3 linked regions of the Mus musculus genome follow. The protein of the gene in region 2 binds, or shares a complex with, the protein of the main gene of each other region. Links are inferred from orthologs where the notes say so. Each region holds a gene or a part of one and is shown on either strand. Other genes may lie near its edges. The genes, in order: Lage3, Tprkb and Gon7.

Region 1 (3,332 bases), on a different chromosome or scaffold from region 2:
TGAGACCAGCCTGGTCTACAGAGTGAGTTCCAGGACAGACAAGACTACACGAGAAACCCTGTCTTAAAAAAAAAGAAAAAGGGCTGGCGAGATGGCTCAGCTGTTAAGAGCACTGACCACTCTTCCAAAGGTCCCGAGTTCAAATCCCAGCAACCACATGGTGGCTCACAACCACTCGTAATGAGATCTGACACCCTCTTCTGGTGTGTCTAAAGACAGCTAAAGTGCACTTATGTATAATAATAAATAAATCTTCGGGCTGGAGTGAGCAGGGACTGAGCAAACGGAGTTGACTGGAGCAAGCTGGCTGACCGTAGCGAATGGGGTTGACCGGAGCGAGCAGCGGTCCTAAATACAATTCCCAACAACCACATGAAGACGCAAAACCATCTGTACAGCTATAGTGTACTCATATGCATAAAAATGAATAAATAAATCTTTTTAAAACAAAGAAAAGAAAAAACAAACAAAAGAAACCACCTGAATTCCAGAGCCCCTCCTCCAACACAAAATAAAAACCAAAGAAAATTTAGAGGCTGAAAATAAGCTCAAATGCAGATTAGCAACATAGCTTTATTTTCTTCAGCAACAAACATTGAAGCACCAGACCAAATGGCTCCTAAGTGCCTGAGGACCAAATCAGGAAAAAAATATTAGGCCCCCACATTTATGTAGTAGTTACTATTTCTAGAATCTTTTCCCTAGGGAAAATTGTATTGCTTAGGAGGAGACGGAGATAAGGTCAGACATGGGTCCCCAGCCAGGCTTAACAGGAAACTGGGGGCCCAAAGAGCTGTATGGTGTTCACCACTAGGGAAAGCTGGTCAAGAAAGTTGATGATGGAAAGTCGGAGGAGGCGAGAATCTTCCGCGATCCAGCGTCTAAGAGTGAGGAAAAGAACATCAAATTCAAACTGGTAGTTTCTACCCTTATTTCTTTCCTTTTATTTATTTTTTTTTTTTTGGAAATAGATAGAAAATCTCTCACTATGTAGCCATGGTTGGCTTAGGGATTGCTATGTGGATCTGGCTGGCCTGGAACTCACAGTAATCAGACCATCTGCCTTTCTCTTGGCTCCTACCCTTTCTTCATCTGTCAGGCATCCACTGTACTGCAGGTAGAGACTAGACTGGTCCAGTGCATCATGCCTTTCCTTAAAAATCACTCTAGTGTGATGATGTCTCTGAGGAAGTGCAGCCTAGGGTGGAGGATGGCCCAGACACCTACCCAGCATCCTAGACTCTTTCAACACTTACACCTCCAGCATGCAGCCGCTCACTTTAAGCTCCTTCCCTACCAGTCCTCGATGTGGTTCGACATCTGGAACTAGGGACCCACAGGCGATTTCTGCCTCCAAAGAGGTCGGGAAAGGCACGAAGAGGGAGCTGGTAGAGACTCAGGAAAGGCACCATCTTGAATCAACTTTGCCTCCTTACCCCTCTAAAATCATCGCATCTGGTCTAAGCTCCCCAGGCTATATCTTCCACATTGCTTGGGCCATTCCTGCTCATTTCCCTCCACCCTGCTGCCCCTCCTCTGTTGTCAAGGAACTTTTCATGCCCAGGCCATACCCCAATCAGCGGGTCCCTCTGCTTCCCTCCTCCCTGCTTTTTTTTCTTTTCTTTTCTTTCTTTTTTTACCCTCCTCCAGACTACCCGCTTCCCTGTTTCAAGCATCCCGCAGATATGTCCATGTCCGGTAGGATACAATCTGTGATGTCGGGTTCCAGGCCTTTGGGTTAAAGGCACCATGCTTTTGCTGGAATTTCGGGAGGCTTCCAGTGCTCTTGCAACAGGGTGAGCTCCACTGGGAATAACTGCCTTTGTGCCTGCATTACCAGGACAACAGCGGCTAGTCTGACCATCGGCGCCATCTGCAGTGTGGCTTAAACCTGTGTGTGCTGTCTGCATGTCTGCTGCTGTTCCTCCTTTCAACCCACCTTCGCGTTACCAGCCCGCCGCCTCTGCCATTGCTGCGGCCCAGAACCCGCCTTATCCTCCGGAAGCTCCGCCCCTCGCACAGGCTGCCATTCCACACGCGCCTGCGCGAACGGGGAAGGTGGTGGGGCCGGGGAGGGGCGAGGGGCGGGGGGGGGGGAGGGAGGCGGGGCGGGGAGGAGCGGTGGGGGGGGGGGGTGGGGGTGGGCAGGAGGACTCTCCAGGGATTTATAGGTTGATCTGGTCAGCTTCTGCCTCCAAAGTGCATCACCATGCCAAGTTGTCCCTACAGTTTCCTAAAAGGGACCTAAGGTGATATTTTCTAAAAAACAAAACCACAACAAAAACCAAAACACTATCAAACCAAAAAACTGTCAAGTGGCCTGGTGTGGTGATGCCTGAAGAAATCTTAGCATTTAGGACCATGGTTCTCAATCTGTGGGTTGACCCAAGTTGGGGTCACATATCAGATATCCTGCATATCAGATATTTACATTACAACTCATAACAGTAACAAAATTACAGTTATGAGGTAGCAATGAAAATAATTTTATGGTTGGGGTCACCATAACATGAGGAACATATTAAAGGGTTGCAGCATTAGGAAGGTTGAGAACCACTGATTTAGGAGGTGGGAATAGTTCTTTGCTTAAGTTGGAGGTCAGCCTGATCTACATAACCACTTCTAGGCTATCCAGACTTACATATTTATATCATCTCAAAAGCAGTCACAAAACAGAAAACCCCATCAACAAACAAATGAAGTGAAATGAGATTTTGAGTATCAGCAAGCAAGAGGTTTCTTTATTTTTCCAGATAAGTTCTCTTAGCCAGGGTTACATGCCTTTAATCCCGACACTTTGGAGGCAGAGCAGGTGGCTGTGAAGTTGAAGTCAACCTGGTCTTCATAGTGAGTTCTAGGACAGCTATATAGTGAGGCCCTGTTGAGGGTGGTGGTAGAGGGATCGGGAAAGGAAGGAGAGAGGGGGGACAGAGAGGACAGAGAGGAGAAAGAGGAGAGAGAGACTCTATGTAGGTCTGGCTGTCCTGGAAGTTGTTCTGTAGACCAGGCTGGCCTCAAACTCAGAGATCTTCCTGCCTTTGTCTTCTGAGTGCCAGGATTAAAACACAACCCTCACCCCAGCTAAATGTATTTATTTTTATTGTATGTGTTTGAGTGTTTTCCCTGTTTGTATATAAGTGCACCTACTGTGTGCAGGTCCTGGTATCTATGTGAATCCTGTAACTGGAGTTGTGGGTGGTTATAAACTGTCATGTGGGTGCTGGGAACTGAATCCAGGTCCTTTGCAAGAGCAGCAAGTTTTAATTACTGAAGCAGCTCCAGCTCCTCTCCTTGAACACCTTCAAAAGCCCTGAGATTTTCTTTTACAACTG
Region 2 (3,650 bases):
CAGAAGTTGTGTTGCAGAGGTAGTCAAGGTTGCACCTTATGCTGCAGCTGAACTTGGCAAGTTTAAGAGTGACCCAGATAGTACTGGTTTTGGAGGCATAAAGGGGTCATGGAGAGTAGCTGAGGTTTGGCACTGAGAGAGGCCAGAAAAAGCCATTGGTGAAGGTGTGGCCTAGTTGCAGGAGATCCTAGCATCTTGGAGATGCCAGTATATAGCAGCAGCAGTGGAATAGAGGCTTCCTGAACTTAGAAGACATGTTGTGCATGCTACAGAAGACAGAGCTGGAGTAACGCAAGCCCTTTGAAGGAGCTCAGAAGATCATGAGTGGATCCCAGATACTGGACATTGTGTTGTTTACACAATTGGAATTTGATTTTGCTTTGACTGTGACTGTGTCTTGGTTCTTCTCTCTTGAAGTATTTATTTTTTATTTTGTAGGAGACCTATTTTATAAGAAGTTGAGAGAGCTTCCTTTTTCCGTGTCCTTTATATAGGCTTCCGAGAAGAAGGTGTGGCCCAGATTAGAGGTGGATCTTACGATCTCAAAAGATCTATATTAAAGGTGTGTCGTCCCACCTCAAAGATCTGGATTAGAAGTGGATCTTCCCACTTCAGATGATTCACGTAAGCAAAGATCCCCTCACAGGTATGCCCAGCCATTTGGAGGGTTTAGTTCACTCCAGATGTAGTCAGGTTGAGGACTAAGAAGAGCCATCATAGGAGATGTGGCCTTGATAGAGGAGGTGTGTCACTGGAGATAGGCTCTGAGGATTCACTGATGCCACTAGGGTGTGAAGTGTCCCTGGGGATGGGCTTTTGAAACCCCAAAGGCCACAATAGGCCCACTTGTGTTCTCTACCTCCATCTTGTGGGCCAGATGTAAGCTCTTACGCCCGCCCTCCCCGCGCGCCTCCCCACTATCATGGTCATAGACTAGCCTCTGAAACTGTAAGCAGCCTCCAGTTACATGCTTTCTTTCATAAGCTGCCCTGGGTATGGTGTCTCTTTACAGCAACACAACCGTAACTAAGACACTAGGGTGCTTCTGCAGACTCACACTTCACGTATGAGAAGCACAAAACTCAGGCATCTGCCAGAACATACATGTGCTCACAGCTAGGCCATAGCCCTTCCTAAGACAGGATATAGCATTTTAGACTCTATTTATTATTTTAAAACACCAAAGTGTGACTTGGGCAAACACTTTTTACCTGAATATAAAAGAATTATAAGGTAAAATGAACATATTCTTAAATGTCTGCCTTGGTTAATTCATTCCCATATTTTGTACTTACCACATTGGGGTTTATCAATGAACCATCAATAGATCCTTCCATGGCCTTTTTTCTCAAGTCTCCTGCATTTTTTACATCTTTAAATAACAGAAGGGTCACCCTGCATTCAGGAAACAAGTCCAGCTGCTGTGATAGCTGCATTTCGTAGACAAGAAGGACTCTCCTGGACAAAAACAAAAGGTCATCAGGTTCTTATATGTAAAAGATTGCCTCCATCTTTTCCACCCAGTTTCTCCTCGTCTGTCTGTCTCACCTGACAGTCTTACTGTCCTATAACTTGCTCTGTACTTCCATCCTCCTGCCTCTGCCCCTCAAGCCCTAGAAGTGCTATGAAAACACACTCAGATGTAACCATCTTAACAAAATCCCTGCATTCTACTTCCCTGTTTCTTCTCTAGCTTTATTTCTTTTTTATTTTTATTTTTTTAAAGATTTATTTATTTATTATAGGTAAGTACACTCTAGCTGTCTTCAGACACCCCAGAAGAGGGCATCAGATCTCATTATGGATGGTCGTGAACCATCATGTGGTTGCTGGGATTTGAACTCAGGACCTTCAGAAGAGCAGTCAGTGCTCTTACCCACTAAGCCATCTCTCCAGCCCTCTAGCTTTATTTCTATTGCTGTGATGAAACATTCTGACCAGAAGCACCTTAGGGGAGGAAAGGGCTTATGTGGCTTATAATTACAGGAACTCAAAACCACAAAGGAACACTCAGCTGCTGGCTTCTGCTTAACTAACTAGATTGTTAATACAGTCTAGGACCACTTGCCCAGGGAATGGTGCTGCCCATAGTAGGCTAAGCCCTTCTACATCACAACAATTAAGAGTCAAGGCAGCCCATCATAGATAGGTCAATGGGTCAACAGGATCTGCACAATCCCTCAATTAAGAGTCCCTTCTCAGGTAACTCTGAGACTATGTCAGGCTGACAGTTGGAGCTAACAAATTAATTTCATTAACTACAGAATTCCTAAAGTAGAAAAGTCCATTTCCAGAACATCTTTGGCATCTTTATAAGGCGTGTTTTTAACTGTGCCGAGCTGTTTCTCGTTCTCCCATTTCCGGGGGTGGGGGTGGGGGTGGAGAGCGGCTGGCGCCCTGCTTGGGAAGGTGGGAAGCCTCTGTGCGTGATCTTCCAGAGACTCCAACCTGATGCAGGACGCCAGGAGATGACAGATCACAGATCACCTACCACAGTAGTGAGACCTTCATTACCGTATCCTTCCTAGTCTATTTTACTTATACTTTAACAAAGCCCAGTCACAAATATTAAGAAAAATAACTTATACTCAAATACCATACCTTACTCAGACATATATTTCAACATGGAATTGACCAAGAACATACAGTTGTTAAGTAATTCTCAGCAGCTGCGCTGGCTCCCACCTACAATGTAATAATGTAAAGGAAGTGTGGGGTTGTGCTCAGCATGAGGTCTCACATATTGTGAATGATGCCCTGGGTACAGCAGACATGCTATACATTACAGAAAAATACATACATTTTAAGAACAATTTCAACCATCAGTTTTCTTTTTAATGATGGACACAGAAGTTAGGGCCTTTGCAAGGCTAAGCACACTCTACTGTTGAGCGACATCTCCAGCACCAACACCTTACTGATTCTTTCTTTGGTTTAGCCAGTCTGCTAGGTTCTAGTCATCTTTTCTATCTGTCAGATCCATTTCTAGTTTTCTTTCTTGAGGAAAACTGGAAGTTTGATGATGATAAAATAAGATGTCCTTTTTATCATCTTGAAAGGTTGAGAATAGTCTATTCAACCAATGGCAAGGTTTGGTGTGACTAAATAGGGCTAAAAGTTGTCATGTTCAGTGGGAGTGGGCGTGTCTGAGTTTTCTGCCTGTTCTCAGGACCCTTTTCCTCTTACTGGGTCCTACTGGTTGCCTTGCCCAGCCTTGATGTGAGAGTTTCTGCCTAGTCTTACTGTATCTGGTTGTGTCATGTTCAGGTGATATCCCTGGGAAGCCTTCTCTTTTCTAAAGGGAGATGGGAGGAATGGCTCTATGGGAGAGGAGAGATGGGGGAGGGCTGGAAGGAATGGAAGCTTTGGTCAGGATATCTTGTATGAAAAAAGAATACATTTTAAAACTTTTTTTTTTAAAAAGTTGTTATGTGGGAGCTGGAGAGATGGCTCAGCAGTAAGAGCACTGACTGCTCTTCCAGAGGTCCTGAGTTCAATTCCCAGCAACCACATGGTGGCTCACAACCATCTGTAATGGGATCTGATGCCTTCTTCTGGTGTGTCTGAAGACAGCTACAGTGTATTCATATAAGTAAAATAAATAAATAAATATTAAGAAATATTTTTTTAAAGTTCTCATGTTGGCGGAG
Region 3 (4,130 bases), on a different chromosome or scaffold from region 2:
ACATGGCCATGCCATGAGGACAGGCCAGTTGGAGTTAAGAGCTGCCCAGATAGAACACGGTAAGTTATAACCCGGGGTTATTTTGGGGGAAGTGGCTCAGAATAGCTTAGAAAGGAGATATTTGCCCAGCTCTAGTGCATTAAAACTGTATTATATCCCCGCACTCAGGAGGCAGAGGCAGGCGGATTTCTGAGTTCGAGGCCAGCCTGGTCTACAAAGTGAGTTCCAGGACAGCCAGGGATATACAGAGAAACCCTGTCTGAAAAACTAAAAACCAAAAACCAAAAAAAAAAAAAAACCCATATTATTACATATTATAAAACAGTAATAGAAGTCTTTTAATCTGAGAACTAAATGATCTAAGGTGGAGTAGAAACTCCTAATTTATTACAACCTATTGGCACCCAACATAGGGTATCATTTTGTAGAAGTCTGATTCCAGTTCCTCCTCCTAGACCAATGCTCCCAGAAATAAGACTCAGACTCAAAATATATATCCAAATACCTTGGCCATACAGCTAGGCTCTTCTCTAACTATATAATTAAGATAACCACTTTACACTTCCACCAACAATGTGGCCTGTCCTATCTTAGAATGACAAGTAATGTCAACTTGCCCAGCCCAGGTGAAAAGATATGGAGGGAAGCTTTTGTTTTTTGCCTGCTTGCCCTCACTGACTATCAAGTTCATCTATCCTGTTACTGAGAGGCCCAAGATACTCCTTTGTTGGTGTTAGAACCTACTCTTTAGGATTCCAACATAGACTGAAAACTGGCAGCTCTCTTAAGACTTTCCAGGAACTCCAGTACATGATTGGGACTGTTGAGACATCCAGTCTCATGGACCAAACAACTATCAGATGCTTAGCCTTTCTGTCAGGAGACTGCCAGTTTTGGGCTACTCAGATCACAGGCCATAAGCCATTCTAATAAATATCTTTATATCACACTTATTCTATCAGCTCTGCTCCTTTGAAGAACCGTGAATAATACATCTAGCTAATACTTTTTATTGTTTCTTTAAAAAAATTATTTATTATATGTAAGTACACTGTAGTTGTCTTCAGACACACCAGAAGAGGGCGTCAGATCTCATTATGGATGGTTGTGAGCCACCATGTGGTTGCTGGGATTTGAACTTGGGACCTTTGGAAGAGCAGTCAGTGCTCTTAACTGCTGAGCCATCTCACCAGCCCCTTATTGTTCCTTTTAATGACAGCCAATAACTATATTATAAAGAATACGGAAGTTTAATCTCCTCTGCAGAAGAATTGACTCCTTAGCTCAGAACAATGAAACATCTATCTTGGTGTTCAATTCAAGATTAGAAATAAATGTAACAACAGTGGAGTGTGGTGGCATATTTCTTTAATTCCAGCACTGCTGAGGCAGAGTCTGGCAGGTCTCTGCAAATCCAAAGCGAGGCTGGTTTAACCGTTACATGGTGACAATGTCTACAAAATAATTTTATTCCTATTAACAGAGCTAGGGCTGGAGAGATGGCTCCGTGGTTAAGAGCACCACCTACTTTTCCCCTGCATGTACGAGGCACCCTCTTGACTATCTGTAACTCTGGTTCCAGGGGATTTGATGCCCTCTTCTGGCCTCCGAAGGCACTGCACATAAGAGGTGTACAGACAAGCATGCAGGTAAACATCCATCTTTAAAAGCAAACAAACCCCAAGCCACCAAAATTAACAGTTAATTTCTACAACAGGAGAGGGGGTGAGAGAAAGTAAGAGGACGGGAAGGGCTGTAGTGCTTTCGGACATTATATAGCCCTTAAACTCTGGCAGCACAAGATGGCAACGTAAACATTCCATCAAGGAAGGGGGGGGCTCATGAGGCGCCACCCCTCTCAGAGGAGCGGTTGGCGGTTAATGGGGGGCGGGGGAGTCATTGTTTTTCTTCAGTGGTCTAGTCACTGCTGTGTTGCCCTAGTTCCAGTAAATATCATACAAATATCCTTAAATAAATCCAGTGACAAAAAAAGGCCGGAAAGAAAGGCGAGGAGCCCTGTCGAGAAGGGTTCAGCGGGGGATAGAGACCATGACCTGAATGCATTAATACATGAATGAAACGATCAATTAATTTAAGAATACCAAAAAGCTAAACTAAAAAGAACTCTTTTACTTTCGAAACAATAGCTACAAAACTGAGAGGGTTAAGATTCCCTAAAACAAAGTGGGCCTCGGTCATTCGAAGCTCTCCTCATTCTGTCAAACACGTTTTCTCGTTTCTAATTTCACTCCTTTCCGTTTTTCAACAACCAGGTCTACCTTCCCGCCCTTTCGGGTCTTCGTGCCAGCTAGCAATGGTTACAGACCGCCACTTTCTCTGCCTATCTTAATCCTTTGCGTTCTTTGCAAGGGAGTCAAGCTGACTTCGTCCGTTGACCAGTCCCTAGTCCAACGCTCGCCACGGTTTTTTTTTTTTTTTTTGGTGGGAAAAGTCGCAAAAACGGGGGGCGGTGGGATATCAGACAAAGAGGGCAGCGAGTTCTAAGGATTTTTAGAAGCGATTGCTCCTCTTCTCCGGGGCTCGCCTTCTCTAGCCTGCCCTTCACACTGCCCGGTCCCGCCAGTGTCCCCCGGCGCCCCGCCCCCGCGCTCACCATCCAAAGCGTCGTCCGGATCTTCCGCCAAGCCTTGCGCGTCCTGCTCCACTAGGGTCCCGAAGAACTCCGCTACCAACTCCTTCATCCGGACCACGCCCGCCGACAGGCTCTGGAGAGGGTCCGCGTCTCCCGACGCCTCACAGGACACTCGTAGCCGCTGCGGCTCCCCGTCACAACCGACGTACTCGCCCGAAAGCTCCATGGCGACCACTCAGCTTCAACAGCGCGCCTCGGAGAAACGCCACCCGGAAGCGGAAGCCAGCCTGCGGCCGGGGCGGGCGGGAGAGGCGAGGAGGAGGAGGAATGACTTCCGATTTCCCGAAATTGGCCCGCCCATTTTCTTCCGTGTCCTTCCTTAGGATTGGCTGTCTGGTGCTCGGGCTCCGCCTCCTCACGGGGCCCCGCCTTCTCGCGACGCCCCTGGCGGCGGCCACTTTTCCCGCCTCCTCCTGGGCCCACGCAGCGGAGCCCGGTGACAGTTGAGGATGGCCGGAGCCGAGAGCCCCACCGAGTGCCAGGCGGAGCTGGAGCCCGTGGTGTCGCTGGTGGACGTGCTCGAGGAAGACGAGGAGTTGGAGAATGAGGCGTGCGCCGTCCTGGGCGGCAGCGACTCGGAGAAGTGCTCCTACTCGCAGGTGCGCGCGGCCCGGCTGCTCCCGCCGTCCTGTCTGTTTCCCGCTGGCCGCGGCCGGGCCCACTCACGGCGGCCCTTTACTCTGTGCTTCTACAGCCCCGGCCCGGCTGCCATTTCATCCTCAGCTTGTCGCCACCAGGGCTGTCCCTCGGTTCCGCTGATGGTACACTGCAGGCTCCGGTCCTCCAGTTGTCGCCTCTTGGTGGCCTGCTTTTCACGAGGTTGTTCTCGTGATCTCTCAAACCCAGATATTCTTCGCTCCACTTCTCCCACCGCCCAAGAATCTTAATTAGGGACCAGATGGGGAAAAGTAAAGGGAAAGTGGGCCGGCTTTGAAAATCTTCCGGTGAGGTTCGGCTTCCGGACACTCCTGTAGTCTAGTTTAACTGCTAGCTGCCCCCACCTCACCCCCTTTCTGGTTAAATGAAGTTTCGTGTGTATGTGCTATGTGACATCCCCTCTCTCTGGGGACTGGAAAGCCAAGAGGAGAAAAGGATCTGTTTGGCATTTGTGGGACCTTTTGAACGAGAGAGTTTGAGGGGCTGAGATGTAGTGTTTAGTGACGCATACTGTACATTTAAGTACTAACGTGGAAAAGGGTGGGTAGGAAGGAAACTTAACAACAAGGATGAGAATTGGTGGAAGGAAACAGGCTAACTATGCCCATGGGTGGAGTGGGAGACTGGGGTAGGAGTGAAGGGACTTGGAGTTATGGTGTGGCGTGGACTGAAGTCATAATACTAGTTGTCTTCGTTGACCAAGTTGGGTTTGCACTGTAAAATTGTTGAATAAATCTTGTATCCCAGAAGTAGTCACAGCATGGTCGCTGGTATTTAAATTTGGAGGATCATTGTTAGGTTTCAAACCCTGGACTCTGCT

What was found.
Region 1: Tprkb (region 2) and Lage3 share a complex: the UniProt entries of both Homo sapiens proteins name them as parts of the EKC/KEOPS complex. The link is inferred for Mus musculus from reciprocal best matches to the Homo sapiens genes TPRKB and LAGE3.
Region 3: Tprkb (region 2) and Gon7 share a complex: the UniProt entries of both Homo sapiens proteins name them as parts of the EKC/KEOPS complex. The link is inferred for Mus musculus from reciprocal best matches to the Homo sapiens genes TPRKB and GON7.

The regions. Positions count from the first base shown.
Region 1 is NC_000086.7:74,351,618-74,354,949, forward strand, and holds Lage3 (EKC/KEOPS complex subunit Lage3), read right to left. Parts: upstream 2,002-3,332; 5' UTR 1,911-2,001; coding exon 1,708-1,910; intron 1,386-1,707; coding exon 1,257-1,385; intron 882-1,256; coding exon 767-881; 3' UTR 545-766; downstream 1-544. UniProt on the Homo sapiens protein: Component of the EKC/KEOPS complex that is required for the formation of a threonylcarbamoyl group on adenosine at position 37 (t(6)A37) in tRNAs that read codons beginning with adenine.
Region 2 is NC_000072.6:85,922,168-85,925,817, reverse strand, and holds part of Tprkb (EKC/KEOPS complex subunit Tprkb), read right to left. Parts: intron 2,686-3,650; exon of another isoform or gene 2,602-2,685; intron 1,459-2,601; 5' UTR 1,437-1,458; coding exon 1,296-1,436; intron 1-1,295. UniProt on the Homo sapiens protein: Component of the EKC/KEOPS complex that is required for the formation of a threonylcarbamoyl group on adenosine at position 37 (t(6)A37) in tRNAs that read codons beginning with adenine.
Region 3 is NC_000078.6:102,754,927-102,759,056, forward strand, and holds the start of Gon7 (EKC/KEOPS complex subunit GON7), read right to left. Parts: upstream 2,885-4,130; 5' UTR 2,820-2,884; coding exon 2,615-2,819; intron 1-2,614. Other genes in the region: Gm20604 (AK010878-Moap1 protein), read right to left, coding at 2,615-2,819; putative E3 ubiquitin-protein ligase UBR7, read left to right, coding at 3,103-3,252. UniProt on the Homo sapiens protein: Component of the EKC/KEOPS complex that is required for the formation of a threonylcarbamoyl group on adenosine at position 37 (t(6)A37) in tRNAs that read codons beginning with adenine.